Linked DNA regions of Notamacropus eugenii. The protein of the gene in region 2 binds, or shares a complex with, the protein of the main gene of each other region. Links are inferred from orthologs where the notes say so. Each region holds a gene or a part of one and is shown on either strand. Other genes may lie near its edges.

What was found.
Region 1: the proteins of PLEKHM1 (region 2) and MAP1LC3C are in contact, whole or in part, in a crystal structure (PDB 5DPW), measured with the Homo sapiens proteins. The link is inferred for Notamacropus eugenii from reciprocal best matches to the Homo sapiens genes PLEKHM1 and MAP1LC3C. Residues at the interface, in NP_055613.1 of Homo sapiens: Glu632, Asp633, Glu634, Trp635, Val636, Asn637, Val638, Gln639, Tyr640; in NP_001004343.1 of Homo sapiens: Phe13, Arg16, Lys17, Glu25, Ile29, Phe33, Lys36, Pro38, Asp54, Lys55, Thr56, Lys57, Phe58, Leu59, Val60, Pro61, Glu63, Leu64, Ile72, Arg76, Phe114.

The regions. Positions count from the first base shown.
Region 1 is NC_092873.1:402,775,973-402,779,888, forward strand, and holds the start of MAP1LC3C (microtubule-associated protein 1 light chain 3 gamma), read right to left. Parts: upstream 2,642-3,916; 5' UTR 2,479-2,641; coding exon 2,421-2,478; intron 2,312-2,420; coding exon 2,256-2,311; intron 2,044-2,255; coding exon 1,937-2,043; intron 1-1,936.
Region 2 is NC_092873.1:348,256,775-348,260,690, reverse strand, and holds the start of PLEKHM1 (pleckstrin homology domain-containing family M member 1), read right to left. Parts: upstream 2,345-3,916; 5' UTR 2,256-2,344; intron 1-2,255. UniProt on the Homo sapiens protein: Acts as a multivalent adapter protein that regulates Rab7-dependent and HOPS complex-dependent fusion events in the endolysosomal system and couples autophagic and the endocytic trafficking pathways.

The DNA.
Region 1 (3,916 bases), about 55 Mb from region 2:
AAATGAGGAAACTGAGTTACAGAGAGGTGAAGTGATTTACCCAGGTTCACACAGCTGGTAAGTGTCTGAGGCAGGATTGAATTGAGGCTTTCCTGACTCCAGGTCCAGTATTCTTATCTAGAACGAAGGGCCAACAGGCTGACTAAAGAATAGTGACCCACCTAGGTGGAAAAAACATGGCAAGTCAAAATTTCAGTACCAATTAACAGCAGGTCAGTTCATCACTGGCCACTGCACTTACTGTCTGGGTGAGACAGGGAGACCTAGTGTTAAAAAAAAAAAAAAAGTCTAATTGTTCACCTTCTGTTTCCTCCCAATTAACATAGGGATGGTTTCAGCACAGTAACTTCCATGACAAGAATAGAGAAAAATACAGTATGGAGGACTATACTAAGGAAAAAAAAGTCTTGTCAATAAGATTTCTACCTTCCAAAAATAAAGGTAGGAATGTTCTTCTCTTCTTAATTTTCTTGAACTCGTTTATGGTATATTCACATAAAAATGTCTTGTTATGAATTTAACCATCTTTGATTCATGTAAGCATTTCAATCTACAAAGTACAAGGAAGATAACTGTAGAAGAAATTACTGTCACATTCTGCCTTACATTACACTTATGTGTGTACACATGGTCCTGTTACTCCTTGGTAAACTTTTTGGCCCAGGCTATCATGGAATCATCCTTGTAGCACCAGCTGCTTGGTTGAGTGCCTCCAACATAATAGATGCTTAAGCAATGATCACCAAATGAGATGTAGGGAGAAACAGCTTATTTAAGTTACAAAACTCCCCAAGGAAAGTCCCTAGCTTCCTTTTTTTTTTTTGTTTTGGTGGAGAATTATACAGTAAATCATAGTTACTTAGCTCTTAGACATCTATTTTTAGCTCCAAATACTTTTTATTGAATCCATATGTTAGGTGATGATGTGCTTAGCACAGTGCCTGATACACAGTAGGTGCTTCATAAATGTTGCCTGATTGATGGATAGGCAAGGCAGCTTGGGTCATTGGAACAGGCACTGTCTCTCAAGTCTGAGGAGCTGTTTTCAACCCCTAACTCTGATGCTCACTCTGGGTATGGTTTCAGACAAGCCAGCTAGCCTCTTTGAACTTCAGTTTCCTCATCGGTAAAATGTGGGGATTGAACTAGATGGCTTACTAGCTCCATTCCAGCTAGAGCTCTATGATCCAATGCTCCAATTCTACCTCTTTATGTTTGGTTTCCAGAAGGCAATTTTCTGTCCTGTTCCTTCAATTCTATCCTATTTTGCTGGTGGAGGACGTAAGAGGGAAGATAGTGGAGGTAGCAGGTACTCCTACTCCAAGCTGCTCTGGATTTGTTTTTGTTTTTGTTTTTTTTTGAGACACAGAGACAAAGAAAAGGACAGTCATACTAAATCACAGAAAGGCACAGAGACATGTACAGAGACACAGACACATGTCAACAGAGACACACAAAGACATATACAGAGAAAACACATAGAAACAAAAAGACACAGCGACATACAGAGATATGTACAAAGACACAGAGGGAGACAGAGTACACAGTGAGTAGTCATGAATTTTTAATTCATAAAGTCAGAGTGACTTGAAACTAGGCTTTTTTGCACTAAGCTCTGGATAGCTTCTTTTTAAATTCTGGAATAAATTCCAAAAGGAGGGAATAAAAGGCTTCTCAGGTGATTAAAAAAAAAAGCACCTGTGACTTTAGGATAACTCAAGTAATGCTCACTTTAGCTCTATCAGGCTGGGGCTCTCCAAGCTAGGATACTCCAAGAGGTTAAGCACCAGTTCAACATTTCCTGGCCACCCTGAAGAGAAAGGGTGAATCACAGACAGACTCCCCCTCCCAGAGCTAGTCCAAGAGAAGCTCTTCTCCCTGACTCCTCCCACCCCTCCCGTACCTACAGAACGGTGTCTCTAGTTTTGCCACCTACCTAATGATAGTTAGAAACTGAGTCATGGTCAGCTCCTGGGGAACGAGGAATTTGGTTTTGTCCAGCGGGGGAAGGTATTTCTCCTTCTGATAACGTTCAACTATCACCTGTTAAAACGTTTAAACATAAATTGAAGCAAAGCCAATTGCTCCCTTCTGAGTGGAACTGAACAAGATCGCTTGCCTGGAATCACTGAGTCCAGGTGGGAGTTAGTGGGAGAGTGTATCACGGGGCCCTGTGGTTGTTCCAATACTTTATTGATCACGGCTCAAGACAGTACCATTATCCCACCCACCTTCTACCACAGGGACCTCCTTACCGGTATCTTGCTTGGGAACTTTTCCCGGATCCCAGCAACTTCCTCTTTTCTGATTGCTGTAATGGCACACGAAGAGTTAATCAAACAAATGAAATGAGGTCTGTATCCATCCTTTCCCCTCGTTCCCCACCTCTCCTCTCCTAGGAGGATCCCCCTTAGTTGTACCTAAGCTTTTCCGTTGCTTGAAAGGTCGAATGGATTGACTTTTCTGCTGAGGTTGCATTTTATTCAACAGGTTTTCTGTGAGGATTGACTTAATGTAAATTTTTAAATTCCCCAGTAATGAAGGGCTGTGCTATTTCTTTTTCTCCAGCTGCTTTCAAACTGTCTGCAAGAGCCTAATGAAGTACCTTATATAGTCCTGGGTGTGACATCATGTTTTCCCCCTCCCCTTTTCCCCCCCACCCCTCACAACCCAAACCCACAGCCTGTGAAGTAGAGGTCAGCCTCACAGATGGGAATGGAAAAGTGGGTCTGTTTTGTTAGTCAGAGCAAGTCCAAAGTTGCTTTGCTCATTATCAGAGAACATTTTCCCCTTTACGGCTAAAGGAATGAAGGCATCCTTATACCACTATCTTCCTACCTAGCCTATTCCATGAAATTCTTCAGAGGTGAAAATTCCTCATACTAAAGCTCTTTGGGTATTTCCGTAACTATGTCCTCTTGGGGGGAGTCCAAGATTGATCTGCATTATACTGAATTCTGACCTAGAATCAAGTGTTACAGCAAAGTTCTATTTTGAATTTGTTCTTGACTTTAGCATATCATTTCCCCCTCATAGAATCCTACTGAGGGATAGATGTCATAAGAGATGGAAGACAAACATTATTCCCAAGATTCCCTATTTTATAGACGAAGAAGCTGAGTTAGTTAGTAGTACCTTTTACTCGTCTCTCAGGTTTCAAACTCAAAAACCACCTTTGACTCCTCTCTCTTCAACACCTGCATCTCATCAGTGGTCATTTCCTACTCCAGGTCTTTTGCATCTCTCTTAATCTTATCCTTCACAGTGTTACCAGCCCAGTTGCATTCTTTGTTACTTTACTGGTGGGAATATTTCAATAACCTCCTAACTGATCCTTCTGCCTTAGTTTTTCCCCTTGCTTTAAATATACAGTTGTTACCTTAATTATGTTATAAAAACATATAAATATCCCATTGTCAAAGTCTTCTTCAAATCATGTTACTCCGTACTCAAAAAATCTTTAATGACTCTCTACTGCTTTTTAACATAAAGTCTAAACTCCTTAGAGGTTCACACTGTACTCTAACCTACCTTACCAGTCTCATGTTAGATTTCTCCTTGTAATTAACTTTATCCTTTAGCCAAACTGACCCACTTGTCACTCCCTTACTAGATCCAGTCCTTTCCTATCTCTTTTCTTATAGCATCCCTTGTGCTTTTAGTTAATTCTTTTTAACTCTACCTGTTGAAATCATTTTCAACCATAAAGGTATAATTCTGGCCTGGGTCCCCCTAAAGCGTTTCCTTATTCTCTGTAGGTGAAAGGGATACCTCTCTTGCTTTACTCTTTTATGCAATCTTTGAATCCTTCCTATGTACTTATCCATATCTATATTTGTAATGTTAGTAGGAAGTATTAGAGATATTTGTATACATATCCCTTCTCTCCTATTAGACTACAACCATCCTGAGAGAA
Region 2 (3,916 bases):
GAGCAGGGCTAAGTAAGAGGTGGGGAGTCTGGACCAAAAAAAGACCAACCCCCTTTAAACTCCTCTGAAACATTTGGCACTGCTGCTGACTACCCTCTCCTAGATATTCTTTCCTTGAACTTTCTGTTTTCCTATTCTCTCTTGGTTCTTTCCACTGACAGTCTGACAGTTTCAATATATCACACAAATCTGTCTACTGGATTTTTATCGAAGTCAAATCCAGTAAGTGTGGTTGTACATTAAGTTTTTTTTTCTTTATACTCACTTGGTGATCCCTCAGCTCACATGAGTTCAATTATTATCTATATGCAGATAAATACACGCACGCACGCACGCACACACACACACACCCGATAGTCCTAGACCTTCTACTACACCACCTATTAGATATTTTGAACTGGAGCTCAAATTCAACAAGCCCAAAATAGAATTGTTTCTCTTTTCTCTCAAAACGACTTCTTTTCTGAACTGCCCTAATACTGTACAGGGCAATACCATCCTTCATGTCACCCAGGTTTGCAACCTCAATGCCACGCTTTTGTTGTTATTTTTCAGTCTATACAGTTGTGCCTAACTCTTAGTGACCATATTGAGGATTTTCTTGGCAAAGGTACTGGAGTGGTTTGTCATTTCCTTCACCTGCTCATTTTACAGAGGAGGAAACTGAGGCAAACAGGGTTAAGTGACTTGCCCAGGGTCACACAGTCAGGAAGTGTCTGAGGCCAGATCTTCCTGAGTTCAGATGAGTCCTCCTGACTCCAGGATTGGCACTCTATCCACTGGATCACCTAGCTGCCCCAATGTCATGCTAGACTCCCTCCTTCTCACTCACCCTCTTATATCCAATCAACTAACAAAATCTGTTATCTCTATCCACACAGCATCTCAGGCATAAGACACCCCCCTCCTTTTTTCACAAGCACCACACAAGTTCAGCCCTTCATCACCTCTTACTTGAAAAAATATTGCAGTACTTTCTAATGAGTCTCCCTGCTTCACTTCTCTCCCCTCTCCATACTGTTGTTAAAAGTGATTTTTCTAAAGTGCAGGTCTGATCATATAACTGCCCTATCCCAAAGTCCCCAAATTCTTCACTTCTTACGACTTCTAGGATCAAATACAACACCCGATTTGGCATTTAATTCTCTATAACCTGGTCTCTTTTAATCTTCCTATTTTTCTTACGTTAATCATAGCTAGCATTCACATGGGCCACAAGAACCCTATGAGAAAAGGTGCTACTGTCATCCACATTTGACAGATGAGGACACGGAGGTTAACTGACTTGCCCAGAGTTATATGGCAAGCATGAGGCAGGATCTGAACTCCAGATCCAGTCCTATCCACCATGCCACCTAGGTGGCTTTGGTCATTACCTTTACCCCAAAAAGGCGCCCCCCTCCAAACTTGCCTTTTCCTGGAGAGGGCATCACTACATTCCGATCACCCAAGCTCCCAAGCTCGATGTCATCCTCTCCTCCTCCCCTGTCCCACATGTCCAATCCATCAGCTGCCCCACTCCACCAAGCCCACAGTCCAAGCCGAAGGGCCCGTCTCTGTGCCTTCTCACCTCAGCCTCCTGGAACTCCTCAAGTTGCCCCTGCACGGGGGCTTCCCAGCCCAGTCCTGTCCTGTCCTGCCCAGCCCAGCCCAGCCCCAGCCCCCCGAAGCAGGCGCCTCTGCGTCCATCTCCCCGTTAGAACGCGAACTCCTCCAGAGGAAGGCCGGCCTCTGCGTGCCCCCTCCCCCCACGGTACCCCGGCGCTTAGCGCTTAATAAATGCTTGGCGATGGAGTGATCTGAATGGGAGAGTGGAGAACCGTGTGTGGCGGGTCAGGTTCGGAGGCTGAAACGGGGGGGTCTGACGGGTCGGGCAGAAAGCCTCGAGGGGACGCATTAGCGGGAAGAGTTGGGGGGGGGCTGAAGCAGGGGAAGGAGGAAGACGTGGGAAAGGGGGAGCCGAGGGCTTAAGAGAGCTGAAGGGAGGGATCGCGGTGAGGAGGTGGTGATGGGCTAGGGGGCAGGGAGGCCGGTCCAGGGTGGGAAATCTGGGGGAGGGGGCGTGGTGGGGACGAGCGTCAGGTGGGGGCAAGGGCACGGGCGTGCGGGGACGGCCCGGGGGGTCCTGGAGGAGGGTCCGGGAGGGGGGCGAGAGGGGCAAGCGGGATGGGGGGTCTGGGACACGGACCTTCTCTGGGACCCGGTCTGAGTTCCCTCCATCCCCGACCGCTGCCTCACGGGGACCCCAGACTCACCTCAGGGTAGACGAAGAGCACTAGAACTGCCTCCAGACTCTACCCTTGCGCCTCTGACCGGAAGCTGCGGCCTCCCGGGCAGAGAAAACAGGAAGCTGCTCCGGCCGCTGATGACGCCATCACGTCAGCCTGGAGTGAGCCCCGCCCCCTGTCCCGTGTAGCCAATCCCCGGCCTCGAGGTCCCGTGGGGGTGGGGCTTGTGGCTCGGGAGACCGCACGTGGAGGTGGCACACTCGGGTCGGGACTGCGGCTAGGGGCCGGTTATTACGCTAACCATTTGTCAGCCCCTGGGCAGGGAGACCCTGCGGAAAGGGCTCGTCTGGCGCACTCCTGCGGACTGGCTCGGCCCAGCGGCCGCTTGGAGCCGAAAGTCCCCCAGCCTCTGTTCCCGACCCTCTTTTAGGACCTCAGTTTCCTTGTGTTCAGATGACGGGGCTGGACCCACCAACCAACCTTAACTGATGTAACGCCTTAGAGAAGCAGCCCGGTGCGGTGGCTGGGAGTGCCGGCCTCAACGCTAGGAAAGGCCTGGGTTCGAGTCCCACCTGTGACACGTCCTGACAGGGTGACCCTGGAGAAGACGCTTAATAACTCACTGTGTGTGTGTGTGTGTGTGTGTGTGTGTGAATGGATAGAGAGGGACTAGATCTTTGCGATTTCATTGGTACAGGGAATATATATATATGTGTACACATATGTGTGTGTATATATATGTGTGTGTGTGTATATATATATATATATACCAAGGGTCAAGACAACAAGCATTTATTAAGCGCCTACTGTATGCCAAGCACTGTGTGAGACAAAGAAAAGCAAAATAAAACCAAAAACAGACTCACTCTCCCGAGTCAAATGGGAGAGAGGACAAACAGCTTACAAAGAAAATACAGGACAAAGTAGAGATAATCTTATTAAAGAAGGAGCTTTTAAAGGTTCTCTTTTCTTGTTTTGCAGTTTAAAAAGCCCAGCCCTTGCAACCATCATAGTCAAGTAAAACAAATGGACTCCTTTGGCAGCCTGGCGTAGACTTTGGAACTCTTCTCAGAATGTTTTTAAATGCATAAAATAAAATATACAGGCATAGAAAGGAAACTAGTGTTGAAATCAAAATATTTTTCAAAAGCAAGTTCATGGACCCCCAAGTTAAGAACCCTTGATGTATGTTGATTAAGTTGCCGAGATGGTGCTGTCCAGCATCAGTTGAGAGAGTTTGCTCTTGTTGGAGTTCCCTGTACCAATGAAATAGCAAAGATCTAGTCCCTCTCTTTATCCTTAACAATTTACAAGCATCCATTAACAATGTTGCGATCCCCATTTTAAGTGACTTGCCCAAGGTCACACATTTTTTAAGTCCAAGTGATCAGGTGAGCCCGAATCTTTTTTTATTTTTAATTAAGTGCTCTTTTTACACTACTGAGAGAAATGATAACTAAATAACCAATTATTGGAGAGATGCAGGGTTTTTTTTCCTTCCTATTTCCTCATTCTCTACTAGGTCAAATCCTTGCCTTGCCTTTCCACATAGGGTGTCATACATATCCTTACCTGCTGGTGCTTGTGCAAAGGAATATAAATTTTGATTGCTGAAACCTTCTAAGACATCTTGGGGTTTACAGGCTAGATTTCTTTCTTAAGGACCATGCCTTAAACCCAAATCACTG